Linked DNA regions of Alligator mississippiensis. The protein of the gene in region 2 interacts with the protein of the main gene of each other region in a biochemical or structural test. Links are inferred from orthologs where the notes say so. Each region holds a gene or a part of one and is shown on either strand. Other genes may lie near its edges. The genes, in order: HBEGF and ZBTB16.

Region 1 (14,594 bases), on a different chromosome or scaffold from region 2:
TGGGCCAAACAGCCCTCAGAAAGAAATCCAAGGAGAAACCCAATGATAGGAGAAACTGGGCTGCACTATGCCAAGTTCTTGCTAACGTTGATGATAAGAATGCTCATGATAAGAAAGCCAAAGCCCAGGAGAGGGGTGGAGTGCTGTGCACTCATGTAAGCATGTGGGGCCTGCTTTAGAGCAAGCCGGGAAAGGCACCTGCTCTAACTGACTGATGGCTGGGAAGTGGTTATTGAAGACCTGCTGCAGTGAGGAAATGGAAGAGACAGTGAAGTGACTGATGGAGCAGCGGCAGGAGACTGTGGATTTACAGGCATGCCACTTCCAAGTTCCCTTCCAGTTCCATCAGTTTCAATTCTAGTTTGTTGCCTTGGCAGGCTGGCAGCAAGCACCAGCCCTGCCTTATTCACAAGGGGACTGAAGAAGATCCTGAGGTCTACTCAGACACCTTTGAGCAGAAAGGAGTCATCCAGGGCTGTCCACCCAGCTTCTCTGTTAGCAGCAGATGCATAGTTTGCAATTTGCATCTCATGCCCTGGGCAAGGATCCTGCCATTGACTGTGAGGCCAGCTATGCTAGAGGAGTGCCAGAGATCAGAGGAAAGATCCCTGTAGCACTTATGAAAGGGGCTCCTCTCCCAGTGGATATAGTTGAGCATCTGCACCCATACACAGACAAACTAAGAAATGTGGTAGCTCAAGTCAGAATCTGGGATATTGGGAAAACTAATAATAGGCTTGACTTCACTAGCCATCTAAACCAGTGCTTCTCAAAGTGGCGGTCCACAGACCGCTGCTGATCCGTGAGCCACCGGTCGCTGGTCCGCAGCCAGTTGCCAGTTGCCAGGAAAGAAAGAAATATATTCACCGGTCCGCAGCGAGTTGCCAGGAAAGAAAGAAATATATTTTCAGAAGCATAACATTGATATGTCATAGCACCACAGTTCATACGTTCCAACACTCCAGGTGACGTCACGTCATGCGAGGTGAGGAAAGAGAAAGAAACAGCCGGTCATGCATTTGTGTAGCGCTGTGTACATGCAGTTGCTGCCACCGGCTGAACTGGGCACCGGTACCTGGCCCACTGGAAAAAAAATTGCCAGTCCACCACATCAGATAGTTTGAGAAGTACTGATCCAAACTGCACCCTCCTTCCCTGCTGTTTAAAATGGTATAGGTGATCCCTCTCTTGTCCACATCCCCACAATGGAAGACAACAAGCACACACTGCCTTCCACATGACCTTGATTGGCTGTTCCTGCCCCCAACCACCTCCCCCCTGCCCCTTTTTGGAGGAGGGAAACTGAGGAAGGCAACCAGTCAAAGCTTCTGGGTGAAACTTGAAATTGCTTTTGATAAGATTACCTCCAGCAGTCACCAAAATCCAACTGTGATGTAATCATGGGATTTGGCAACACTTACAACATGAGAGATACCACGGAAATGAAACCTAATTAATTGAGAGGGGGAAAATTTTTTGTTCAAACTTAAAAACTCTATGCATCTTTTTTAACTCCAATACTCCAACGCTGAAGACTGAACACCTAAGCCCTTCAGTGAAGGGCTGAGAAATCTCAGAGTTTATTTATGAGACCACTATCGAGTCCTACAAAAAAATCACAAAAGACAAGACTATCTTCTGATATTTTTTAATTTTTAACAGAAATTAAATTTTAAAACTTCTGAATCTTTTTTATATTTTCTGAAGAACAGAACATGGCATCAATTCAATTATAAATCCTTTGAATGATATAACTTGTTATGTGATCCACAGTGTGCACTTTATCTAATGCACACTAAATTTAGTACCTCTAAAGTAAGGTACTAAATAAATGTGCAATAGGCTGCCCTACTGCGCAGTATTGAAAGCACATGCTTTTTTAGTGATGATTAATGTGCAGTAGCCTATTTTTACTGCACATTAACATGGTTTTTGACATGGTGCTTTAATGCGCAGGAAAATAGGCTACTGAACATTAAAACACATATGTAGACATGCCCAGTGACTACATGCTCCAAGAATTTCATAGACTGGAAAAATGACCAGGCAAAAGGTCTCCTTGGCAAAATAATATATCCTCTTTCCTATCTCGCTTAACTCATCCTCTTGCTATGCAGTATGCCAGGTAAGTCATGCAAAGCACACCTCCCACACTGCCCCTGTATCAGATGCCCCACTGGCTGTTCAGTGGAATATGGCAGGAAACTCAAGTAGAGGAGAACCCAGTGCAGAAAGTTACGTAACAGGGAAATAAACAGTGCAGTCTTCTGGGCAATCATCAGTGCTTTGTTGTTGAACTAGAAGCCTGTTCAGCACAGCTGGAATTGTAATATTATGATGAAACAGTTTTGTCCACGTTATTAGTCCCAGCTGCCAAATTCTATAAGAGATGATGATGGCTGGAGGAAACAAAAGGAACAGAAGCCAACACATAATTACAACAGTCAAGTTCAGGCAAGAATTGGGGTGTGAACTGGGGCTGCCAAACCCAGCTAATATCTCTTAGAGACAACAACAACAATCACAGGAATTTTTAATCATGCTGTTAATGCACCTTTCTGAACTGAAACTGGCATCAAGACTTTGGACCTAGGAGTTCAAGGTAACAGAAGGAACAGTCAAAGGAGGACTGACATCCAGATGATATTCAGAGCAGCACAGAGCAACTCTGCTTTGTTGACATTTAGTTTCATTAGTAAACTCAGATGTGTAAATGCAGCTGAGCAGAAGCAGTGAAAAGACAAAACTTGGAATGGAATCCAGGAAACAAGGCTGGATGTCATATTGTGAGGTGATGCTGTGGATCACCCTGTGCAGAGGAGTCTACTTCCAGGAACTGAAATAACTACAGGTGTTACATCCCTTGGTGAGAAGAATAGCCATCATTTCTCACTATAGCAGTTGCCCCAGCTTTTAGGACTTGAATTATTTTCTAAACTGATGCAAGCACCATAATGCCCTGATAATGCCAGGCTTTAGATGTAGCCACCCAATTCCCACCCCTGTAAGATCAATGAGGTCAGGAATGATGTGCCCCTAGCATCATGGACACCTAGTACTCAGAGGCAAATGCCAGTTAAAGCTCTATGCCTAGTTTTTAAGCAAGTTTAAAAGTGATTGGGTGACTTCCTGTGAGTAAAATGCCAACTGCACCCTTCACATATATATTGCAAAGAGGTCTTAGAGCAGAGGAGACCGAAGGCCAGGGAAGAACCCTCTGCTGACATAGGACCTCTGCTCCATCCTCTTACAGGCCAGTCTAGGAAATGTGACTAATACCAGCAAGGGATACTTCTGTAACATTCAGTGCTATGGGAATCCTGGCCTCTCATTAAGTAACAGCCTTCTATTAAAATTATATCTAAGACTGGTTGGACCCTCACAGAAGCTCAGGTTCTGGGCTCTGCCCAGCTCCCTGAGCTATCTATGCCTTCTGCCCATGCCTCTTTGGAAATTCAACAAAGAATCCATCTCTAAAAACATTTCATTTAACATTACAAGAAAAAGACACATGATGAAAAAATGTTCATGGGAAAGAAGGGAGACCTGAGTGGATCAGATCCTGAGGAAGAGGTAAGAACCTCACCATAGGTAGATGTGTGCTTCTCGCATCATTTCTCATCTGGATTACAAATGGCAAGAGATGGGTTTAAGCTGTGAAGCAGGGGGTTTTACCTTCCAGGCAATGCTCTTCTTGAGCTTCTTACATTTGCCAAGTTGCTCCTCTATTTGTCCCAAAACAAAAATGTCCCAGGATTGGCAAATACATACATTACCCATCTAATCAGGGTTTAGTGAAGAGTTGAAATACATTGCCACTTACTGCAATCCTGGGACAACTGTTCAGATACACTTTGTGATAGCCTAGGATAAATTGTTAGCACTTTTTATCTCATGACCATTTTAAAGATTTAGGACATTGGGCATGGATGTTTGAACAACTGCAATTTGTCCCAGGGTTAAAATGCAACATCTGTTTGTAGCCTTGGTAGCATTATAGTTCTGGATGTCCTTGTTATTCTTACAAGCATCCAATCCCTCTTTGAGTCTTACTATGTTTTGGCAAGGATTTCCACCACCTGATTATGTCATAAATAAGAAAGGGTTTCCTTTTATTGGCTTTGAACTTGCCACTTTTTAGTTTCATGGACTCTCCATGTCCTTGTTTATGAGACTGATCAGGAGCTTTCCATTTCTCTGTCTTTTCTAGATCATTTATTATTTGGTATACTTTTTTCAGAGTTCCTCTTGTTTGTTTATTCTATGGAAAACCCAATTCTTTGCAATTCATCTTCCTTTGAGAAATTTTCCAAGCTCCTAACCATTCTCATTGCTCTTTTTAAAACACTTTCTAATTTTTCAACATCTTTTGAAGATGAGGTAACTAGACTGCCCATGGATTTATACACCATGGATTTATATGGAGATCTGACATTGTCCTCTTTATCATTCTCCACCCTATTTCTTATGCAACTTAACATTTTGTTTTTGCCTGGCATCTGTACATTGCCCCTGCTTAGAGCCTCCCTATCTTCAGTGAGAGACATCCTGCAGCTCTGCTGAAGGAATCATTATGATTATCCATACAATTAATCTGAAAAACCATTAACAATATTTTACCTTGTTAGTATCTTCTCACACAAGAATTTCAGAGCAGTTTACTGAGGTTAACAATTTAAATTAGACAACAATCTTTTGAAGTGGATAAGGTATCTAGTTAAACAATATGTTAATTTATTTTACCCACCAGTGAAATGCATTCACTCTAAGGTAGAATATAGCAGCTGTTTAAACATTCTCAAAAATAATACACAACAAGATGGTCCTGGTTATCCATTCTCTGCACTCATCTACTTATTTGCATTGCTGGAAAGTGAGTGTAAGGTGAATATAAAGGACTGAACACAGGGTAGTGGTAAACCAGGCCCAGCTTCTAACTGAAACTGCAGGGAGAATTTTACATAAGTAGGCTGTATAAATGAAGAAGTTGGTATCTGGCCAGGATGACAGGGTTAATGCTATTTCTTTCCTAAAAGAAACCAGGAGATCTCCTTATGTTCTTATACTATACCCAGCTAATCTGACCCAGATAATGTGCAGCTGATCACCCAGATATTAAGAGCCAGAGCACCAGAGAAGCTCTTGTGACCAGAAGTGAGCAGGGTCCTGTTTTTTATGTAACATATGAAAGGCAGTGCCTACAGCAGTCCCACATCACAAAGCCACATAATGGTCAAAACTGACCTTGAAAGAAGGCTGTAGCTGCTTCCTGACCCATCACTACCACCAGCAGCACTAAGACATCCAAGGAATTCTCCTGCCTGCCGACTGTAGAACAGTGTTTCCCAACCGTTTCCAGCCCAAGGCACTCTTGCATTAATAAAATTTTTCCACAGCACACCTGTTATGGCATTCCCCATCCTCATACCTATTGAAGTCCTTGGCCATGGTAAAATTCCGTGGCACACTTGTTCATTGCTGACAGCACACTTTTGTGCTGCTGCACACTGGTTGAGAAACACTGGTATACAACATGGTGAAGGGCATCGTCTCCCTCCTTCCCCTCCTTTGCCTCAGGTCATTCTCTTAAAGGACCCTGTGGATTTAACACCTTCTGGGTTGTCTCTAAAGTGGCCTGGCTACCTCCTGCTGCCATCTGGGAAACCTGGTGCCAAGTCAGAGCTCAGATCCGGCAGTACTGTTCTTTCCTCCTGCTCTGGCCCCTCCTAATGAGAGACTGCTGTCCCAGCCGCACACATTGCATCAGCTCTTGGCAAAGCGCATTTCTGCTGGGTGGGAGTGCTGATCCCTGGCAGGGCATCTGTTCCACTGGATGGGACGAGGACTGTGGAGAAATTTTTTCCCCTTTTTTTTATATTGGAGGCCAAATTAGCCAAAACTAATTCCAAATCCAAGAGTCCAGAACTGTAAGTGGCCCTACTACCAGCAAACATCCTCCACCCCCATCTGGGGCTTCAGATGTTTCCAAAACCACTGGTGCACATCCTGCATACAGGCCCAAGCCTGCAGGCTTGGGGTTGGATGCCCCTGGATTGTGCTTGCCCTCAGCCCTAAGGCCCTTGGAGCAAGCAAGGGAGGAGATTCCCATTTCCATAAATTGGGTTTAAAGCCACTGCACCTCTCCAGAAGAGCAGTTCCCCTGCAAAGTGGTTCAGGAAAACTGCCTTCTTGGACATGCATACATGGTATTTCCCCAGCCAGGCTGATCTGAGCCTTCAAATGGTCCGGGCAGGACGTGGGGCCTGAGAGCGGCTGTGCCGTGCCCCCAGCCTCGGAGAGAGGCGCCTGGGCACTTCCCTATAGGACGGGCCAACCTCAAGGGCTGACCACTGGGCTCCGAAGGGGCCCTCATGGGAAACCTCCTCCGTCGGGCTGAAGCCCGGCCCAGGCCGCCCGGCGGGAGCGGCACTAACCCCCGCCCCACTCGCGCCGGGCGGGCGTGCCCGGATGGCAGCGCCCCCGCGGCCTGGCCCCACCCACGCCGCGCCGCGCCGCGCCCCGCAGCCTCTACCCCGGCGCCGGCGCGGCCCGGCCGAGATCGGGCTGCAGCTCAGAGCAGCACGTGGGTGTGGGCGCCCGGCAGCGCAGCAAGAGGAGCCGCCTGGCAGCACCGGCCGCGGGCAGCGAGGAGGGCTACAGCGGTCGGAGAGGCAGCCGCGCCCGCCCCGCCGCCTCCGGCACCGCAGCGCCGCGCAGCTCTTTCGCGCAGAAAGTTTGCGGCGGCCGCGGGGAGCCGCGCTCCTGCCTCGGGCCGGGGAGAGGAGGCGACATGAGGGGGCTGCTGGTCGCTGCCAACCTGCTCCTGGCGGCAGGTAGGGATCGGGGTCTCGCTCCGGGCGGCCCCCGTGGGCTGCGCCGCGAGCCGGGTGGGCTGGGGGGAACGAGCGCCCGCAGGGCAGCGCCGGGGCTGGGAGCGAGGGAGGCGCTGGTGTGTGATTGCGGGAGGCTGTCGTGTGTGCAGCTCCCCTACGCTGTCAGCTCGCCCCTGGTCGCCGTGGCTATAAACAGCTGCCCTCCACCCCTGCCCCCTAGCAGAGTCCTAGACACTGAGGGTTGGAAGGAACTCCAGGAGGTCATCTAGTCTGACCCCCTGCTCAAAGCAGGACCAGCCCCAACTAGATCATCCCTGCCAAGGCTTTGTCTAGCTGGGTCTTAAACTTACAACCTTGTTGGGTGGCCTGTTCCAGCGCTGACAAGCATTTGAGAGAGTGCCCCCCACCTCCCAAGTGCCAGCTCTGCCGTGGCTTTCACTGTGACATCGCAGCTTGACGGGTTTGCCTGTTTGTCCCAGCAGCCTACTCAGGATTTGTGAATGGAGAAGGGACCGACGTGACTGAAAATGAAGTTTACCATGAAAGAAACAGCGGGCGTGTGGGGACTGTCCAGCTCTTCCAGACCAGGGCAGGCTCCGAGTATGAAGAAGAGAGGGACAGAGAGGTTACTTCCTCCGGGGATTATTTTATTGAGCTCCCAAGAGGTATGTGTCGTCGTCCCTCCCACCCCCAACACATTTCAGGGATATGCTGTGCTGCATTAACTGTGTCTGTGGGAAGGGGAAAGAAATGAACAGAGCAGGTTGTTAAAAGGAAGGAGTTTTCACTCTTTGGTACTGGAGTCACCTGGAAGTGAATGAGTTACCCAGGGATTTCTTTACTAGCAGTCTACTGGAGTAAGAGTCCCAGAGCAGTGTGGCATGCTCCCACAACTAGTGAGGTAAATTCTGCTCTCAATTAACTTTGTGTCATAGCCATGATTCAACAATTGCTCTGATTCAGCAAAGTACCTGAGCAAATGCTGAAGTTCCATTGACTTCATTCAAAACACGCTTTTAAAATTAAACAGGATACTTTATTCAATAGGCATTGATTTAAGTATGTGCTTAAATGCTTTCTTGATTTGGGACTTCATACCTGGGGCTACTTGTGGGGTGCTGAGCAGGGTATGACTAGCAGATGGATGGATGAGGAAAAAGTTTCTGTAATCAAAGTGAACTCTCAGCCTTTGTCTGGAAGTAGAGGACAGCTAAAGGCAGAAACACCATTGCAAGAGAACAGGACAGATAGTGAGAGCCAAAGGGGCTTTTCTGTCTTTGACTTACATATGCTAAGCCCTGAGCCATGAGAGAAGGAATATTTGGGGGGGGAAAGAGATGCGGGCAGAGAGCCAGGCCAGGCCAGAGTGTTCCCACAGAAATTCCTGGCTCGTGTGCTTTGTGTCACAGTTCAGTTTTTTTTTAGTAGTTCTATGTTTGTGCTTCTTTGCCTTCTGTTACCGTGAAGTCCCCTGTGCTCAGACCCAGGGCTGCATTCTTATGACCCCCAAATCCCGACAGACATGCTTCTTGTTCCCCCGAGTCCCTGGTAACACTTCTTAGATCCAGCACTCTGTTCTCTACTTGGGACGTTCATTTTTGTAATGCTTAATGGAGTGCTATCTCCAAAGTGGAGAAGGGGAAACTGCAGTTAAAGGGTTTGTATAACAGCACAGTTATTGTAGTAACATACTCTTTCTCTCTCTGGGAAAATCCTGTAATATTTAATGACATCAAGAGGAGATGGAAATAGCTCTATAAACCTATACCATTTAATATTGGAGATTCTTTCCATCACCCTACAGCAGTCTTTTCTGGGCCTAGGTTTTCTTATTCAGTTCTGTAGGTTGGTCCCAGAAAATGTACAGGTTTCCCTCACTTTTTGCGGGTTCTGTATGTGTGAATTCACTCATATGCAATGACCCTTTTTATACCAAAAATTCATTATATGCACAGTAAATTCACTCTTATGTGATTGGTGTGGTGGAAGCCCGCAGTCAGCTGCTTTGTGTGGTGCATTGTGGGAGTGATGCGCACCAAAATATAGTCCCCTGTGTGGATCTGTGCTTCTCACTTGTCTCTGATACACATTTCTGTAGTTGCCATCCCCATTATGATAGTGCCCTGTGCTTGTGTGTCCTGTCTGCTGTTGGTGAGTACTAAAATTGTCTTGTAAAAGTGGTAGAAATGGGTCTGGGGGCCAGTACAGTCGAGGTCTTGGAACATATCTCTATTACTTGCATTGTAAAGTTGGTTCCCTTTATGCACATTTGAGTTATGTGCGGTTTTCCAGGAATGCATGTACAGCATAAAGTGAGGGAAACCTGTATATGAAATTTTATCACACTCCTTGATATCCTGCAGGGCTCTGTCTTGTGGGTTAATCCAGTGGGATGGTTTGTTTCCCAGCCCTATCAGTAATAGTCACTGCTTTGTCGAGGAGGGAAATTGCCTGTGACTCACTGCTCACCACCCACACATTGCTACCCTTCACACCTAGCTGGGAAATGCCACTACACTGTCCCTTCTGCAGAGGTGCTTGGTTCAGGATTTGCTCTCTTGTGCTCTCTGTCCATTTATGTCTGGTTTCTCTTACCGGGGTTTGGGCCAAAGAATGTCCCATTGAATAGTGCAGGAGGCTAGGCTTTAGCTTGATTGTGACCAGGATTTGACACGCAGACAAATTCAGACCTGGTGTTAACAGCATAACTTCACTGAGGTCACCAGGTTTACGCCAGCATATGCCAATGCTGACTGGACCAGAGATCAATGTTTCGTACTCTAGTCTTTCCTCATTTTTTGTTCCCCTTCCTGTCTTGCCTCTGTTCCTGTCATTTTCTGACGTACACTGTCTAGCTTTACAGCAGCAGGATGAGCTATTGCATCTAAAGGGAGTCAGTTCTGGGGAAATTTGCCTCCATCTCTTTCTGTGCTTTCCATTAAACAATCTTTCGCTTCCTTTCTTGTCCCTATCAGAATCTCTCCTCATCACTGCTCCTCCCAGTTCTCTCCACCTCACTTTGATCCCATATCCCTTCCATTTCTCCACAGATATTTCTGCCCTCTACAAATGGGGCAGATCATTCTTCCCTTCCAATAGGAATCAGTGAGCTTTTGGAAGGGTGAAAAGCATCCACACAGGTGCATGAGTTGATGGGCCCAGAATCTTTCTGGGTTGAATAGAAAGAACAGGAAGTAGCTCTGGGGAGTCAAAGGCCCCCATTACACATTACACTTATGCTGTGATTTAATGTATTCATTGCAGCATAATTGACAAGGGTGTTGTACGTGCACAGTCTGAGGCATCATAAAATGGCAGATCCGCCATAAAATTGTTCCACATATAATGTAGACAATTTTATGGCTGCTTTGTATGATGCTTTACACTGAACATGTAGCTGAGCCAACAATCACTGATTCTTGCTTGGGGCTGGGGACTGCACTAGGATCCAGAATGAGCCCCAGTGCAGTCCCAAGCCCACGCTGACAATCAGCTGATTGTCATCCCTGGCTGCATCCCTGTGGGCACCCAGTTTTCAACTTGCCAGTGCAGGGGGAGCCTGGAATCATAATCTCAGGCTTCCCCTGCACTGACAAGTAGGACATGATAGGGATCTGATCTTCAATCCCAAAGTCATGCCTCCTGCTACACACATGTGGCATGACAGGAAATGGAGTTGGGACTGGGGATTAAATCCAGTGGTGCATCTAAGTGAATCTTTGTTGGGGGCCAGAGTCACCAATTCTTGCTGCCTCTGCACTGTCTAGGGCAGTGTTTATACAAGTGAAAGCTTATAGTGCCCAGGGGCAATCATGGGTAGTTCCAAGGGGTTGAATTTTATTATATGAAGCAAAGGAAATCTGGCTTCTCTAGTTCTTGCCCACTCTCCTATCCATGACTTAGTACCCTCTGTCAGCCTCAAAATCCACACAAATGGGATGGGGTTATTGTTATTATTGAAATGCTTCACTCTAACTTGCATGGTAAATATAAGGGGCTGTGCCAACTTTGCCCTTGGAGTGAGGGCTTTCTACTATGAAATGGATGATAAATAATGCTTTTCTCTGGGTTGGGAACCCCTTCTGCTTTGTGCTCTTTAGGAGTGCCGCATGTCTCCTTCCAGTCCCTGTCAGGTCTAGAGCCTCTAGCTGCTCTGTCAATCTTGCCAGTGGAGGGGAAGAGTGTCTGAGCTATTCCAAGGAACTGAAGTCAGGAACATCCTCTCTGCCCTCACTTCTTATGCCCCTGCTCATCCATACCCTTCCCACTTGCTATTCCTATCAGCCCATTCCTGATGCTTGCTGGCCTGAATGCAGTAATGGTCTTATCAGATAACTTCTCCCAAATAAACACCAGTGGTGTTACCTTTGTTCCTCTGATCTCATGACAGAGGGACACAAGCACAAAGATCTAGGAGTGGGTGGCAGCTGGGGAGCCAGTTTGGAGGAGAGTAAGCAGCCCAGTGTGGTTCTGCATGTCTTTTCCTGGCCCCTGTGATAGCATGTTCCTGTGAGCACTGCCCTGTACTGCTAGTCACAATGCCTGCAGCAGAGAGATAAACCAAAGGGACCCCTAACTGGAAACAGGAAATTCTTGTACATAATATTTTGGTTGTCTTTTCTTGGTTCTTAACTAAATTATAACACTAAAAGCTCCTGCACTGCTGAGAGTGGCTCCTTCCCCCATTTCTCTGAACGTGGTGCCTTCTAAAGCTGTAAAATAGGATAAGGACGGAAACAAGGGCTGCAGTCCATGGGACCAAGGGCAGCACTGGGGGAATCTAAAAGTATTCTTCAGTTGTATTTAAGCCTCATGGCTTTGTTTCTCTGTGTGCCCAAACTTTGTAGTGCCTGAAAGTTCAGATGTATTGACCTTAGGGGTGTTACTTGAAGAATGAAGCACTGTTCCAAGTGAGTGAGGGCATTAGAATCTGGCCCTTAATGATCAGCATTGCTGAATGTCCTATGTTTTCTGGAGTTGTTCCAGTTTCACTGCAAAACTGAAAACTAACGTGATGTTTGGATGCCCGGTGGTTCCTTAGCTGCCTTATGAACACCACAGTAGGGAAAGAAACCATGAGGAAGTGACAAAGTAGCATATATTCCCACTGAATTTACTTGGGGGGTGAGCAGACTCAGAATTTTGCGTGATCGAGTAATTAGCTTTTTGTCTTACCCAGTTTAGAAACCCAGTCAAGTTTCACCTTGCAAGGTGTCCCTAATGAGCATCCAGAAAGCTCCAGTTAACATTTGCCAAATGAGCATGAGTTGGGTTTACTTAAATAAATTGCTTCCACTCAAATAAAAAAGTAACTACATATTTTGTAAGAACATTTCTGTTGATATCAGCTTGTTTTCAGAAACCCTAAATTGACCTCCTATTGCCCTTTTTAATACTGTTCTTGTCCTGTGTGCAAGCCATCATTGTAATCACAGGAAAATGAGGCCAATCAGGACCATGAATAGGCTCTTACAAAAGATCAGGCTGATCAGAGAAATTAAAGGCTAGATAAAGACACAATTACTAATCTTCTGTATTCAGTGGAAACCAGTGCATATAATAGCAACATTTCAGATAGATAAAGCCCTGTTTTAATTCCTGAATCTGCAGTAGCTTGTTCCTTTATTTCCTTCAGAATTTTTATGAATCAGAAATGCCATGATATTTGTTCAAATGTGCAAGAATGGAAAAATTTCTGCTTGGCGGCAGATCTCTGAACAAAAGTGCTCTGCTGGCACCAAAGTTGAATTACTTACAATAGGTCTAGGTTTCCTGCCCTCTTTCACTTTTAAGCAAGAAATTGAGGTGACGGATGTTTTTTCTTTTGAACTTGTTTTCCAGTTGCTTTCTTGTCAAAACCACAAGAGCTGGTTACTCCAAAGAAAAAAGGGAATGGTAAGAAAAGGAGAAAAGGCAAAGGCATGGGGAAGAAGAGAGATCCATGCCTACAAAAGTATAAGGACTTCTGTATTCATGGAGAATGCAAATACATCAAAGAGCTGGGAGCTCCATCCTGCATGTAAGTAGCAAAGAACCTCTGTCCTAGGGAAACCTTAGTCATTGTTCCTTGAATTCTCTAAACCACACAGAGGAAGAACGTAGGAGATATTTTTAGTTTGTCCTCTTGCTCTGTAGGATGCTATTCTGACTTCCTGGACTTTTTGTTTCTTGCGTTTTGCATCGCTTTGGTACACTTTAAGAAACCACAGACTGTTGTTGGTCTTGTTAAAGGCACATGTCCAGAAAAATGTCCCTTATGTCTCATACATCAACCTTCCATTGAAAACCCCAACACTATGGGTGCCAAACAAATTTAACTGACTTCTGTCTGAGCTCTGTGTTTAGCCTACAAGAACTTGGGATAACACAGTTTACCTTTTGTTGACTGAGACTGTTGCAAGCTATTCACATTCACATTCAAAAGTTATTTTGGAGCCTGTTGTCAAATACCTTTATCCTGACTCTCAGAAGACTGATGCTCATAACTTTTGTGAAGGTCTATAGAAGCTGAGATGTTCTGCTCTTTTGCAAATCGGGCCGCATGAGAACTCCAGTGGACTCGGGTCCCAATGGACTCAGTGTGCCTAAATGGCAGCTGAGCTCTCTTGAAATTTTGGTATAGATATCTCAAGCCAGGCACCCCCTAATGGAAATAACTAAAATATTTCTGAATGGAGCTACTGCTGTATCCACAGGCCTTCTAATTAATTCTTTCCTACAGTATATCATACAGGCAGTAGCTCTGGTTATGATTTGGGCAGGTGGTAGAGGAAAACAAAAAAAAAAGTTCATGAAGAATCACTGTGAACAGGGAAAAGCAGGAGGCTCTGCTTATGTGAAAAGATGGCCTTGGGAGTCTGACAACGGCACAGTTGCAGGGTATTGTTTCCTAACCAAGAAATTGCTCTTTAATGTCATCAAAGCACAGGAAACAAATATTCTTTTTCAGCATCATGCATATATCCTTTCTAATCTTGTGAAGTCTAGCAGAGAGATCCACTAGTCTGCATAATAGTTTCGCCAGAAAAATGGCAGGAGCTGAAAATAAAAGCCCTGAAGAATACACCATTGGGACTAATTCAGCATTGACTAATGGGAAGAGGACAGAATGCGGTAGAGTTGTTTTCATCTCTGACTTCTAGGATTCTGTTTGAGCCCTGTAAGTGAGCTACTCTGTCCTAGAGTCCCCAGTTGGTCCTGCTCCTCTAACACTATTTTGCCATGGTGGTGGCTTATGTGTAGGGAGCTCCATAAATCATAGAGGAAATCACACCACCCCCTCCCCCCCACAGCCCACAACCCCACAGCAGCTCCTTTTTCATAGATTTCATAGATATTTAGGCTGGAAGGGACCTCGGAAGATCATCGAGTCCAGCCCCCTGCCCTAAGGGCAGGAAGTCAGCTGGGGTCATAGGATCCCAGCAAGATAAGCATCCAGTCTGCTCTTGAAGGTGTTCAATGCAGGCGCTTGAACCACTTTTTAATTTTTTCGTTTCACCACTTGCCCGCTCCCTTCACCCCCGCAGTCCTGCTGGCCAGCCCATTTTCTCATGATCACCAGGGAAGTGAAAACCACAGTTTTAAATAGGCTGCAGTTTTTGCCAGCCTGCTGCTGATTGGCTGATGGGCCTTGGTGGCCCTGCTGCTTGCTGCTGGCCTGCAGGGAGGCAAAAACCATGGCATATTTAAAACTGCAGTTTTTTCGCTTCCCCAGCAGTCAGCAGCAAACGGCCAGGCTGGTGGGACCCTTCCACCCATCCA
Region 2 (15,075 bases):
ACGTGAACACCCTAATGCACCTTAAATGTAGGCTAATGCATCTTAAAGTGTCTCGTGTAGATGCATCCAGTCCGCAAGGTAACCAGTTTGCAAGGAGTTTGTCATCCCAGTTCAGCTCCGGGTGGGCAGGGCTCTCCTAGTGGGATCAGGCCCCACGTCTCTGGAGTCAATTCTTTCAGGACAGGCTTCACCTGTTTTGGGGGACAGCGATCAGCTTATACTTGGGATCCACCAGTTTGGAAATAAGCAGACATTTCCCCTTCCCCAGAGATGTCAACCCATTCCCATTCCCTAGCGCTATATTCCTTTTGAAGAGGGGCAAGATGAGTGCAGAAACAAATCCCGCAGAGGACAAAAGCAGTGAGTGAAGGGGTGTAGCCTCGTGGGCAGCTACGCAGGGCGGGGGAGGTAGGAGCCCGGGCTCCCTTTCTGGAACCACTCATTTGGCTCCTATTCTATTTAAAAGTTCCTTTAAGATGAACTTTACCCAGCACACGCACAGCTCCTCCTAACACACAGTTACGGCTGGCATTTAGCAACCCAAGCGCATGTTCCTTCCCGTCCTGAGCAAGATGTCAAATATTTTAGGTTAAGAGAAGGGGAAAAGAGGAAAAATAATTACACAGTAAATTAAACAAAGGCAACCCCCCTGCTTATTAAGACTTCAAGAGGCGCACATTGCCGCTTCTGGCTTCAGCTGTCTGGAGTACATACAAAGGGTAAGGCTAAAAATAGGTACTGTACAAATGATTAGGTCATAGATTGCTAGGGGGAGAAGGTTTTTTATATAATTGCAAACTAGGCCTCGCATTGTTGGTGAAAAAAAATATAAACAGGGCAGTTCAAAGCCTGGCTGCCTGTTTTGTAGCACTATAAAGTTTGCACTCCTTCGCTGAGTCACTGGAGATAGGCTCCCTTTTGTGCGGGGGGATTTACTCAAGGAATGCAGGCGGGCTGGCCTTGGCTGGCAGGGTCCTGAGTCACAGCGCACAATGATCCTTGCAGTGTTTGCAGGCTTTACGGCCGTTAAGCCACTAATTAGCTTCATTGTCTTACCCTCTTCCCAGTCCATGTGTCCTGGACAGAGTGGGGCGGGATGGGAGAAAGGCCTCAAACTTTGCAAGCCTAGAAAATGCATCATTTAAAGGGAAAGAAACCAAGTGGTGGGGGAGGAGCTACCTGCGTGTAGCTGTTTTGATCTATTTTATATGTGCAACTCAACCATCCAGGGACACAAGGGGAGTTTTAACTTCTTCTTTTAATCTAGTATGACCAGTCGCTTCTATTGACCTAAGACCTAGCACAGCCCCTCCCAGCCTTGCGCAGCCCGGGAGCCAAGACTCAAAGGTGACAGAAGCCCAGATCTGCAACCCCAGTGGGGGCTGGGCCAGCGAACACCTCCGCCGGTCTGGGTCTTGCTGGTGGTTGCTGGTTCGGCTGTGTGACTGCCTGGATTGAAATGGATTGAAGCAGGGCTGGTTTTCCAAAGGAAACAGCTGAAACAGTGAGCATCTGCTTCGCTGGAAAATCCAGGCCATCTCCAGCATCCCCAGCCGGGCCCCCAAAGCCCTGCTGGCTTTTCGATCTCTTGGCCATTGTGCTCCTAATCCCCAAAGAGTTAACGGCCCTGATCCTGCAGAAATGCAGCCATGCACACAATCCCGCTGAGTGCAATGGGGTGGGTCAGGTTCTTGGGGCAACTTCCATGATCGAGTGTTTTCAGTATCAGGGTCCAAACACGGGAGGAACTTTGCTTACGTTGGTTGCCTTCTCTCATTCATGTGAGCGAGGATTGGCAAGACTGTCCTTGCTTGAAATGTGGTGCAATGAGTTAAAAAGTAAAAACTGAGGGGCCAGGGAGCACAGAGGAAGGACAAGGATTACTGCAACAGGCCCATGCAGTTACTCCATTGGGCGTGCACTCATCTAGCCAATCCCCTTCAGGCTGGTACACTCAAATATCCCCCTTTCCCTGGAGCCTTAGAAATCCCCCGTGGTTATGGGAGCTGAGGTGCAGTTTTGCTGCAGTAACAACATACGGTCTTTATTTTAGCGTGGATCCGGATTACAGGGCAGTGATAGGAACACAGCGGCTTGCAGAATGGATGCGTCTGAGCTGCCCACTTCCTATCTTACCCATTCTCCCAAACCAGTTGTAGCCTCCCAGTTGCTTTCAGGTTCCCTCTGTAGTACAAGCAAGTGCTCCCAGAAAGACTCCTGCATTCGGCTGCTACCTGTCTGGCCCTGGTATCTGAACAGCTCAGGTGACACTCATCCTAATCAATGGATTTTACACTCAAGCTTACTATACTGCAGTTGTACCCCAAGTGAGCAGCTTGCCCAAGCCCCTGCAGTGTTCTTCTGCCCTGTCTTCTACAGTTGGGTGTGTTTTGTGAAATACAGTCTAACACATTTTATCATGTTTTCGTAAGCTGTCAGCCTGTCTTCCGTGTGAAAGTAGAGCCGTGAATTATGCTCTGATCTCTGAGCAAACCTAACACACTGCAAACTCCTCGCTCACTAAATACAGGCACTGTCATGTGGATGTTGCTGAGTTAGGCTGGTGGCTCCAAGAACTACATCTGAACAATTCTGCAAAATCAGGGCCCACGATAGCAAAGGTAAATCACCCCAAGAGAGTTTGCCCGGCCATTGGGTACTATCACAAAATTAGCATGTCACAAATGAGATTGAATCAGACTTGTTTACCCACCATACTTTTATTAAAGGCAGCCTTACTGGTTTCTATTAACTGGGTATTTTTCATTTAGAAGTGTTTTAGAGACTAATATCCAAGAATGAATTCACTCAGTGCTACAATGCAGCCACCTCTGGGGTGAGAAGCAGCAGCAATTCTAGGAAAGAGGGGTGGAGGAGAAGAGAAGGTATGTGTGGGACAGAGGGCATGGCACCTGTGTGCAACCTGGCATGGAAGGGTATGTCTACACGTGCATTAAGGCACGTGCTTTAAACTTAGTACCTCCAATGAGTTTCTCCCTGGCTAGAGGGAGGAGCACAGCAGCTTGCCCAGAGTGCATTGATTGGCAGGTAACCGAGCTGGGTCAGCTGGAAGAAATTAATGATTTCCTCCCATTCTTATACCAGGGTTGGTTTGGGGGAAATGTTGCTAGTGAAAAATCAAGATATCTGGGAGGAAGTGAAAGGGTGCAGGCTGGGTCTGGGCTGCCTCTGTGATCTCTGCTTTGCAGACTGGAACCTGGTTATACTTGGCACTTGGCTGGTGACATGTTCCCTACTGTTACTTGTTCATCTTACTGTGGGACTTGCTGCCCCAAGACTCCCAATTCAATGTTTCCCTGTTGGTCCTGGCTTTTGCTGCTCAGGTCCTTAATTCTGTGCCTTTGAAGAATCTGAATGTTGGCAGACTGCTCTTGGGGGATGGATGAGTTGTTGAGTCATGTAGTTCACTTGTTAGCATGTGCAGAATGATGCTTTTTGCTCTTCAAAGTGTGCTACGTTGTGGTTTCCATGGGTTAAATGCTGAGAGAGAGAGAGGGTCTCCACTTGCTAGCTTGGGAGACATGGATGGCCTATGCTGTCCTCTTTGAAGAGGTGCTCCCCTTATCCTGATCTGCCATATCCCCTTGGAACAGGGGGAACAATTTCTCTTCCTTACTGTCCCCTTCAAATGCTTGTGGAGCATGCTGGGTTGGGAAGATCTTCAGCTTGGGGTGCTTTCCTGTGTGCCAAACCCTCCCCATGCTGTCAGCACTAAACAAGCTAATCATAATTTCCTCCCTAACTCAAGTTCCTGTGCACAGCCAAAATAAATAACTCTGCACTGGTAACAGTAGTAGTTGTGAAACATTCCCCTGGGTATCCCAGGAGTATGCATCTCAGAAGACATATATATATATAAGTTACATGTATATGTGATTATAAAGGACTAGCAAAATCCTGGAAGTTTAATGCTAAAGGTTAATAATAATCACAGTAGGCAGCACATCATTGCCTCTGTATCTGGTTGAGAGATTTACAACTTAAACTCATGGCAGAGGAAGAAATTGCCTCAATCACTTGGAGTAATGGCACATGGAGAGCCACTTGGGCGTGACTGCTACTTAACATGAGAAGCCCAGCCTGGCTTCATTTAATGTGCTGGTTCTTTTCTAATAAACACGTTGCTCTACAAGGTGAGGATTAAGTTCAAAAAAGTAAATAAATTGGAAACTGATGGGGAGAGATCAGAGTGCAGTGGCATATGCCAGAAGGAAAGGCTAGTTCTTGCCATATAAAGCGATTAACTCCTTTGTTGGGCTGGTCTCAAAGCTCAGAAATAAACCCTAAAGCCAAGGATAGCATTTGCTGGGTGTTATTTTTCAGAGATGGGCAGCCACAAAGCCAACCATCTATCCACTTAGGCACAGACTGGCAGTGCTGTTGCATCTGCCTTACTGGGGGGGGGGGGGGGGGGGTGCTGCCTGCTGGGCACTGAAGAAGGTCATAAGAAGGTCTTCATGTGATGCAATGTGATGTGATGCACCTGTTGTCATCCTACTCTTCAAAGACCTGCTGAAGTTGCAGGCACTGGTTGGATTTCCTCCACCTGAGATGATTGGCACTCCCCACACCTGGAGGAGTAGTTTCACAAAGAGCTGCTCCTTTGATCAGTAGATCTGTGGCATTTTTTTCCAGCAGCATTTGCTTGGGTTCTGCTACAACTTGCTCCTTGCAAGACTCCTGGGCCATAACCCCAGACCTCTGAAGTTTAGTGCAATTCATAAAAAAACAAAAATGTGCAGAGCGAATTGCATGAGCTCTGCTGTTAAAAGAGGACTAAGCCTGCACAGGGATGTCTGGATATAACTTCTCCAAGGCACTCCCCAGGTGATGCCCTCTAAACCTGGTGGATTCTCATTCTTCCCTTCCCATTGGCATCAAGGCACCCAGCTAACACTCAAATGGTTTTTTCATTTATGCTATCAGACCGTCCAAGGCTCCTGCTCTTATTCGAATCAACTTTTTAAAGCTAATTCTGGAAGACCTTAGAGCTGGGTGGGAGGGGGACTCTTCTTTGGAGCTGTATTTGCTATCTTAATACTTCCTGTGCATGTTGTGTGCATGACCTCAAGAGGAGACAATGGGTTCCACGTCATGGGCTAGAGGTTTTTTTGGATCTTCCTATTTTATGCCCCTTGGAATGGCTGTGCCTTTTGCTTCCTCTGTGGCTATTGATCTCCAAGGGATGTCAGCTATGAAATTCTGTGTGCATGCGGTGGAGGATATCAATTTTGAAGGAAGTCTAAAGGCAGATTTCCTACTGGTACGACTATTTCTGAGGGGGGGACTCCATTGTTCCTTGCATTGTCAAGCAACAGATGTTTCTGAGCAGCTTGTTACAACAAAGCTAATGTAACTGTAAATATTTGCTTTGTCTATATTTTTAGTGCTATCTATGGTTTGGACCAATAAGTGGTTTCTTTAGATCACACATGCACGGAAGGAAATGTTTGCAGTGAAATACAGTAACTCTTGTGATGACTCATGGTGCGGTGTGGATATGTGTGGGGTAAGGTATGGAGAAGCAGGGGTGTGTAGAAGAAAGCAGAAACAAGTGGACCTGAGGGAGTGCTGGATCAAAGTGTGCTGCTGAGCTGCCCCAATCCAAAGGGGTCTCCACAAACGGCACCTGTGGAAATGAAACTCCAGCTGAATGGAGTCTGCACAAGAAGGCAATGCACAAAGCAGGCATGGTTATTTGTATGGCAGCCGTGCTTGATGCTCTACCCAGGAGCTGGGCCCTGGGGTGATAGGCTCTTGTACACACACAGAGTAGGAGATTCTCCCTAAACCAAAAAGTTCACAAGTGAGATAGAAAAGATGGAAAAAGGGTGTGTGTGGGTGGGGGGTGAATGAAGGCAGCATGACTCATCTAGTCTTAATGTCAGGGGCCTGTGTGCCTGCATGGTGCCTCTCTCGTCAGCCCCTGCAGAGAAGCCAAGGACTGCAGGCCAGAGGAACCCGGCTCCGGTCTCACCCCTTGGTAAGATTGCTCCTGCTGGGCAAGGCTAAGCCTCCCTTTTTAGGAGCCAGATCTAGTGGGCACTTGGGTTGTGAGCTTTTGGTGAGTAGTGGGAGGAGGGTCATCTTTTTGTTCTGCAGGGCTGTGCTCTCCTTGCTCCTGCTGCAATAGCAACTATCAGGAAAAAGGCATTTGAATAACTAGCGCAGCCTGTGTGATTAGTATCTGAGTACCGCCATGTGCGTACACACATGATTTCAGGATTGGGACCTCCGATTGCAAGCTTGGGGTAGAGACCAGATCGTTTCTATTACAGCACATGGTACGATTCACCGATTACTTAATGCAGTCTTGAAGAGCCACTGTAATGAAGTGTAAGTCACAGTTTGTGTTTGGGGGAGAACTTGAATATCCTTTTGCCTGCGCTATGCCTATTCTGTGAATAAATGTAGGATTTCTGGCGTGCAGGGTCAAAGTAGCTGTAGGAAGCAACTCTGTTTAAAAGTTGAACAAGTCAGTAATTTTACACTCTCTATATTTATTTTATTTTATTTTTAAAGTGAAATGCACCAATTCACAGGAAGGACTGGGGGTTAATTTTCAGTGTGCTGCCTGGGAATTTAGCTGTGGGATTTCCATTATTGCTAATGGGATTCATGCAGCTTAATTTCATGCAAGCTACACTAAAAATGTACCCCTAACCGTCTGCAGAATTTCGGTTCTGAAATCCAACCTCTTCAGTTAGAGCGGGGTAAACAAACACCTGAAAGCACATAATTGTCTGCCTGTTTTTTTCCTGAATCACTTTTGATTTAAGGTGTGGAGGGGAAGCCTCTGATTTAAGCAATCTTTAAAAAAAAAAAAGAAAAAAAGGAAGAGGAGATGTGTATTCATGCTGATAGACAGCATGCTGAATTTCAGCTTGCTGCCAATTAAAACGGCAGAGTTATAACCCCTGAAAAATGGGGTGTAGTTGATGCCTTATCCTTAAGTATAGCACTGTGAATGCTACACTATAATACTTACCGGATAAACTAAGCCCTGTTGTCTTGCAGTATAAAGGCCTCTGTTATTAGGCTGCTCCTGTTAAATGACTGCTATCATTTGGTCCCGAAGTACATTAAATCCCATTATAATTATAAACACACTTCCCTATAACATTCTCTTTAGATTACATGCACACGGCTTTACCCCTAAGGGTATCTTTGTACTAATACCATTCTTATTTGTTGTTTTAGCTGTGGCAATATCGGGTCCTGCAGGACCGGGAATAGGCAAAGGGGAGGGGAAAAAATCTGCCAAATGATTGAGCTGTGCTGCCTGGCTTCTCCGAGAAACGGCACAGCTTAAAAGGGGCTGAACTTGGGCGCAGGGCTGCCCCGGGCCACTTGAGAAGGACGAAATGTTGCACGGTCTCCCTTCTGTAAGAGGCTGGGCAGTAAAGCGGGCGGGCGGGCGGGCGCTCCCACGCGGGTCACCTGCACCAAGCGGCCGCTTCCCCGGCCGTGCACGCGGCTCGGCGGAGGCTCAACAAGTGGAGGCGGCCGGGAAGCTCCGGGAGCAGGTGCCGGCGGGGCCGGGGCGGGGCGGGGCGGGGCGCATCCCCCGCGGCAGCCGCCGGCTCCTCCATGTTTGTTGTTGGCAGAGGCCGGCCGGGCGAAGCGCTGTCCAGCAGCCCGGGGCTCCGCTCCGCGTCCTCCCTCCCCACCGCATCCATCCACACCGCCCGCTCCGCTCCCGACTAGCCGGCACATGTTCGTGCACACCCCACAGCACAGCACAGCCTGCTCCGCTCCGCTCCGCTGCATCCGAGTGCAGACCACCCCCCCCAATCCGCTTCAACCGGGTCCGGTGCAGACCCCCCAGCCCAGCCCGCTCCGGTGCATCTGAGTGTAGACCACCCCCCCAATCCGCTTCAATCGGGTCCGGTGCAGACCCCCCAGCCCAGCCCGCTCCGGTGCATCCGAGTGTAGACCACCCCCCCAATCCGCTTCAACCGGGTCCGGTGCAGACCCCCCAGCCCAGCCCGCTCCGCTCCGGTGCATCCGAGTGCAGCCCACCCCCCTGCTCCGGTCCAATCGGGTCCGGTGCAGACCCCCCAGCCCAGCCCGCTCCGCTCCGGTGCAGCCGAGTGCAGCCCACCAGCCCAGCCCAGCCCGGTGCGGTCCAAACTAGTCCGGTGCATTTTAGTTTACACCACCCATCCCATCCCATCCCACCCCGCTGCGGTGCAGACCCCCCACCCCGCCCCGGTCCGGTACAGACTAGTGCGGTGCATTATAGTCCAGCCCGATCCAATCCAATCCGGACGAGCCCCGCGCGTTGTAGTTTAGATTCCCCCCCCCCCCCATCCCGGCCCGGTGCATCCTAGTGCGGACTACCCATCCCGGTGCGGTCCAGACGAGCGCGGTGCATTTTAGCGCAACCCGGACTATCCCCCCCCCCCCCCCCCACTCCCAAATCGCGGTGCGGTGCGTGTCGGGCGGGAGCCGGGCGAGCGCGGGTGTCCGGCAGCTAGGTGTCAGGCCAGGCTCGCAGGCGCGCGGCGGGAGCGCGGGGCGGAGCGGCAGCGGGACGGGGCGGCGCCGGCAGCCGCGCCCGGGCGGGCGGGCGGGCGGGCGGGAGGTGGCTGCGGCCGCGCCGTGCCGTGCCGTGCCGGTGCGGTGCGGGCGAGCGGGCGGGATCGCTCGGGGGCGCGAGCCCGGCGCCAGCAGTCAAGATGGAGCCGGGCCGAGGCTTCGTCGGGGGGGAGCGGCCCTGACGCGGGTGCAGCAGCGTCAGTGATTTGCTGGCCCGCGAGCACAGCGGCGCCGGGGAGGATGAGAGCGGGCACTGCGAACTGCCCGCGCCCGCCGCTGCTCCGGCGCTGAGCCCGCAACTTCCCCGCACCTGGGCGCTGCCAAACTTGGAGCCCGCCCGGATCCTAACGGGCTCCTTCCTCTCTCTCTCTCTCTCTCTCTGTCTGTGTCTCTCTGTCCCTGCCCCGCTTCCCCAGGCAGCCCGGGGGAAAGACACCCTCATGACTGATCCTCCGGAGCACCATGGATCTGACTAAGATGGGCACGATCCAGCTGCAGAACCCCAGCCACCCCACGGGGCTGCTGCACAAAGCCAACCAGATGCGGCTGGCGGGGACCCTGTGCGACGTGGTCATCATGGTGGACAACCAGGAGTTCCACGCCCACCGCACCGTGCTGGCTTGCACCAGCAAGATGTTCGAGATCCTCTTCCACCGCAACAGCCAGCATTACACCCTGGACTTCCTTTCGCCAAAGACTTTCCAGCAGATCCTGGAGTACGCCTACACCGCCACCCTCCAGGCCAAAGTGGAGGACCTGGACGACCTGCTGTACGCGGCGGAGATCCTCGAGATCGAGTACCTGGAGGAGCAGTGTCTGAAGATCCTGGAGACCATCCAGGCCTCCGACGACAACGACACAGAAGTCGGCGTGGCGGACGGCGGCGCCGAGGAGGAGGAGGATCGGAAATCCAGGTACATCAAGAACCTGTTCATCTCCAAGCATTCCAGCGAAGAGAGCGGCTACGCCAGCCTGGCCGGCCACAGCTTGACGGGGGTGATGGTGGAGCAGAGCCCGTCCGTCTCCACGTCGTTTGGGCTCTCCGCCATGAGCCCCACCAAGGCGGCCGTGGATAGTTTGATGACCATCGGACAGTCGTTGCTGCAAGGGGCTTTGCAGCACAACCCCTCCGAGGACTTGCACTTGGTCGGCGGCCGCCACCCCAGCCTCTCCGAAGTGAAAACAGAAGCGATGCAAATTGAGGAAGCCTCCAGCCACGAAAGCCCCCGGACGGCGGAGTCCAGCACTTCTGGCGGGGACAAGCCCGACGACAAGAGCAAGGACGGGCCCGGGACCCCGACCCGTAGCAGCGTTATCACAAGTGCCCGTGAACTTCACTATGTCCGCGACGAGAACGCGGAGCAGCCCCCCGAGGCGGGCCAGGGAGCGCCGCTCGGAGGGGAGCAGTCGGTTTCTCAGAGCGAGAAGCCCCTGAGCGTCTATTCTGTGCTACCAAATCACAAAACTGACTCTGTGCTCGGCGTGCCGCCCTCCATGACTTCTGCCCTGCACGTGCAGCCGGCTCTCGCCGTGTCCATGGACTTCAGTGCTTACGGGGGCCTTCTGCCCCAAGGCTTTATCCAGAGGGAACTGTTCAGCAAGCTCGGCGAGCTGGCAGCCGGCATGAAAACTGAGAGCCGAGCCGTCGGGGAACAGTGCAGCGTGTGCGGGGCAGAGCTGCCGGACAACGAGACGGTCGAGCAACACAGGTGAGTCTTCCCGCTACGTCCTTCTCAATGTGCCATCGGGTCTCTCCTCACGTCCTGTCACGATTGGCAATTTTCTCTTTTTTTTCCCCCCCAGTTTCTGTTGCACAATCCACAGGGCTTTTTGTGGGGGAGGAAGGGGGTTGTTTTGTGTTTGTGAGTGAATTTTGTGCTGGAGGGTTGCGGCCTGTGTCATGGAAGACAGATCCCCCGTGGACGCGATTCACCCTTGTGCAGAGAGGGCTGGTGCAAAACCTGTGTGTCGTGTTGTTCCCTGCTACGGTTGTCAAACATGGGACTGTGTGCGCTGCCCGGGCATTTTGCTGGCCCTCTCTACTGCACCGTATGTTTGCAACAGGCAACGATTTGGCAGTGGCACCGCGTGTTAGGCAGGGAATGGCCTGACAAAGGATTGTGATGTTGCTCATTTGCTGAGAGTTGGTCCAAGCTCCCCACTAGCTTCCCAGGCTGATGCTGCCTGGGAGTGTGGCTAGTGCTGTCTCATGCCAAATCCGAATTTGCCCCAGGTATCTATCTCCTTCCCAATTCTAGCGCCTGCTTCTTTAAGCAGATGGGAAGCGTGCCTGTGTGGTCAGACACTCAGCGATCTGTCTGCTTGCTGTCCTAGGGACTTAGTCTGGGCATCTGACTGCAGATTGGGGTGTGTGCATGTGTGCGCGCACTATTATTTTTGGGTGAGACCTCTGTGGCTCTTTGCATCTTGCTTAGTTGGCTTTGGGATGTTTCTTGCTGTGCCTCCTGGATCTGTGCTCTGATTCTAGGCCAGTCTGCTGCTGCTCCTCTCCCCGGGAGCAACCTCTCTGGCAATGTTTAATCTCCAGGCTCTGGACTGAACGCCACAGAGCCCAGCTCTGAGTCCAGCCACACTGGAGTAAGGTCAGAGGGCGTGTGCTGAACTTAGTGGAGTTCCCTTTAGGTTCAGGCCCATTTTGAAGGAGGTCAGAGTTTCACCTTTGCTTGAGTTTTGACTCGTGGGTGTGGTCTGGGGGTTTCTCCGGAGCCAGTTGGGGCCCAGTCAAGTGCATTCATCTGCCCGGAGAAACGCTGGAGCTTGCTGTGCTGACTTAAGTGGGGCCTGCTGGGGCAGTAAAGAGGTCTGATTGTGAACATCCATCTGCGGGGTCAGGGCTTCGCCTGCCGGGAGCAGCAAGAACGGGGACCCCAGCTGAATTTGGGTGCAGTAATCACAGACCAGTCGGCCTTAGGCTACACTGCGAATGCAAGCCTTTATGCCTTCTGTACTCCAGGGAAAGCATGGCACGCTCGGTAACAGGGATGCTGTAGCCACACAGTTCATGGGGGGGTGGGCATGGAAATGGGTTCAAGGAGCTTGCCCAGTAGGACATCAGAGGAAGAAGGCCAGTTTGGGCTCCAGTTCCTGGAATTCAAATGAAGAACACAGGAAATCCTGGGAGCATCTCTGGAGTATTCAAACTGAACATCTTTCAGTATTTTAATGAACCAACAAGTTTAATTAGTTCTAACGTACATAATATCCACACGAGGCTCTGCCTGTGTGTATATTGTTGCCTTGCTGATGGGGCAGGAGAACCGCTCTGCCCCTGGCTCTTGTTGTTGTGTTTAGATCTTGCCCTCGGTAAATGAGGCAGGATTTATCCGCAGCTCATGTGGGGCCTCCGAACAACAATCCTCTATTCAACCTGTTACATTTTAAGTGCAGACTGGCAGCCTTGACTCTGGGGTTTGCATCCTTGTGCGGGCTTGCGAGACATTTCTAACATAACATCTTAGTGTGGCTTGTGATTTTAATATGCAAGCGTGTGCTGTAATACACGCGGCACTTAAGCAAATAGGTGGGAGTACTGGCCCGGGTACTGAGAGGACACAGACAGAACTTCCTGAAGAATCGATGGGAATTGTACTTCTGTTCTCCTACAAAAAATCAAAAGAATAAGTGCCTCAGACCAGATCCTCAGCGGGTGTAAGCAGGAGCTCAAGCGCTGCTGACTTGCATCAGCTGAGGGTCTGGCATTGTTTGCTTGCTATAAAATGATGCAGGCTGGACACCATTGACCGGGAGCTGAGATGAAGGCGCAGGGAGAATTTTAACGTGGCGGTCTGCCGTGCTCTCAAACACTGCCTCTTCTCCCTTCTGAAACACAAAGACTAACAATTGATGCTCCTGCCCACACCACAGGAACTATTTTAGAAACTCTGCAAGAGGACAACTTGGCAGGGATTAAATTGGGAACTTTAATGCAGAGCCTGTTCTAGAGTTCCCATTGCTGATCAATAGCCTTCCGTCCGAGCCAGGGCTCAGCGGAAAGTTAAACCCACCCGAATTCACACAGATGATTAGGAGGCCCTTTGTGAATGACTGCATGTTATGAATAAGAGGGCACATATTTTGAACCAGCTTTCTGCATGGTGAGATGGGCTTTATTCCATTTAGACAGCAGTTGCTAGGGTTGCAGCCTTTATTTTTAAATTATTTATATTTGCAATGCACTCCAGTATGTTATGTACAATAATGAGGTCTCGGGTCTAGCCTAAGCTCCAAGTTGAGCAACTTAAACAATGTCGTTTTTAAGCGAACCGAGTTAAATGGATACCAAAGCTCATGCGAATGTTCTTAATTTGATTTCAACTTTGTTCATACCTGCTAGGCTGCATTGGTTCATTTATCGGTGCAAGCTAAATGCATATACACAATCTTCAGCCAGCTTGGGCACACTTCACTAAATAACTTGAACCCATACTTCTAAACCAGTGCATCAGGTGTGTAGACATGTTGCCATGAGACCTTGCTATAATCTTTGCTGCCAAAGAAATGGGGAAATATTGGTATTTTGCACAGGGGTTATTTAGGCAGCTATTGCGTAGCATCCCCAGTGAGAATTTTGCCACCTGTCATCTGTCCCTGGAAGCGGATTAACCAGTGGTGGCAAGACTGGAAGTTTCTTTGTGCAGGGCTGAGGTTTCTTACCACCGAGCTCATCTCGCTGTGATCAGAGCAGGCTTAGCAGGATCAATCTCTAAAACACCTGCTCACTTACTGGACTGGAAGAAGATGGCAGCTTCTGGTTTTTCTAGGGCTAGCAACTCTCCTTGTGCTAATGGCAGCTCTCCCAGTGATTTGGGATCGGCTTCAGAGCCGACTTAGTCTGAGGAAGTCATCTCGCTGAAGGGCAGAGGTCCACCAAAGTCGCTGGCACAGCATTCAAGATTTGCTGCTCCTTTTCCTTGAAGTAAATGGGATGCTTGCTATTGACTGCTCAATGGGAGCAAGGGATGTCTCGTGGGGAGTAGGGCTTGTCGGTGCTGAAGTGGCTGCAGTACAGCGGTTTGCTCCCTGCTTGCAGCACTTGCATGTGTTTTGGTTTTGTTTTCTAAACTTGATGCGAACACCGAGATGTCAAATGCAGGTTCATTTTTAGCTTGGGCAGGAGCTCTAAATAAATGTCAGTGGCTTCTTCCGTTCCCTCCCACCACCTCTTTGGTGGGGCGTCTTTCCTCCCAGCTCTGTTTTGGACAGGGCCTCACCTTGAGCGTGAAGGGGTCGTCTGCATCGTTTTTGGTTAGCGAGTATTTCCGTCTGCCCCTGCTGCGTTTGTGAATCGGAACTGAGGTCGTTTAGGTGGTCAAGAAAGCACCTCGCTGCGTGTGGCAGGAGCAGCTACGCTTGGGGATGACAATGTCTGTTTGGGGAGAATTACTTTGCTTTTGGTTTTGCAGGCTATGGATGGCCTGATCGCCAAATAGTATGGTCAGGATTGCTGTCGAGATGTTGCTAGTCGGCTGCTGCTGGGAACTAGTAGGATTTTGAGGTTTGTAACACGGTTTAAAGAGAATAACATGGGTGCAAAGCAAAACTCACCCTGGCTGACTTTCATTTTTTTAATTTATATGAGGAAAACACTTTAAAGGCCTTCTCCAGATCATGCCCCCACTATGATGGGTACTGGACAAACACACAGTAAAAAGCAGCCCTGACTTGGGACGGTTCACAACTGAGTCGCCCAGACAGATAAAGAAAAAGTAAGTGTTGTGAGCTTGATTTTTTTTTTAATTTGTTGTTTTTTATTTTACTACGAGAAACAAGGCACAGAAGGAGCAACTTGCTCAAGGTCAGATCAAGGCTGTGGGGGGTTGAATGCCAATCTGAGACCCCGCTTAATGACTGAGTCACAACGGCCATCCTTGGTCTCCTGATGTAGTCATCGTAAGATATTTCATGTTATGGTTGACTCAAAACCAACTCATTTCGGAGCTACATTAGTACAGGCCTCTCTGTTTACTTGGGTCCTGGTTTGGAGTCCCGGCGGAAGTACCAGGCTTGGGAACTTATAGGCTGCTTTAAGATCTGTTTGGGTTTTTTTTTTCTTCTTCACTGATCTTATGATTTTGACTAATTGAGTGTGTATTGAGTTGTGGCTCTTTATTCTTTTTTTTATAAAAGATTTCCTTCTAGGTTCAGTAAAGTTCAAACTTAATCTAATGTTGGTATTGATTGTAGCTTCTAATTGCAGGGGGAAAAAAGCTAGAGTTCAACATTTTTTTTTTTTTTTATTTGGACTGGGGAGAAAACACTCATGAATTTTGAAAACACTGTTATCCTAAACTGCTGAAATGAACTCCTTTTTAAATTTTTTATCACAAAACCAAACCATTTAAAACTTGTTCTTCTTAGCAGCTTGATTTTTTTTGTATTTTAAATTGCATTTCTTTAAGCAGTGGGGTAATACAGGTGTAGCTTGGATCTATCACCTTGATTATTTGAGAAGTATTCCCTTCCCACCTTTGTGTCTTGTTTTTGGAGGTTGCA

Evidence for each region.
Region 1: the proteins of ZBTB16 (region 2) and HBEGF form a complex in vitro, tested with the Homo sapiens proteins (2 studies listed by BioGRID). The link is inferred for Alligator mississippiensis from reciprocal best matches to the Homo sapiens genes ZBTB16 and HBEGF.

The regions. Positions count from the first base shown.
Region 1 is NC_081832.1:42,999,529-43,014,122, forward strand, and holds the start of HBEGF (proheparin-binding EGF-like growth factor), read left to right. Parts: upstream 1-6,434; 5' UTR 6,435-6,790; coding exon 6,791-6,833; intron 6,834-7,315; coding exon 7,316-7,498; intron 7,499-12,674; coding exon 12,675-12,852; intron 12,853-14,594. UniProt on the Homo sapiens protein: Growth factor that mediates its effects via EGFR, ERBB2 and ERBB4. Required for normal cardiac valve formation and normal heart function. Promotes smooth muscle cell proliferation. May be involved in macrophage-mediated cellular proliferation.
Region 2 is NC_081839.1:33,137,545-33,152,619, reverse strand, and holds the start of ZBTB16 (zinc finger and BTB domain-containing protein 16), read left to right. Parts: upstream 1-8,653; 5' UTR 8,654-9,024; coding exon 9,025-10,271; intron 10,272-15,075. UniProt on the Homo sapiens protein: Acts as a transcriptional repressor. Transcriptional repression may be mediated through recruitment of histone deacetylases to target promoters. May play a role in myeloid maturation and in the development and/or maintenance of other differentiated tissues.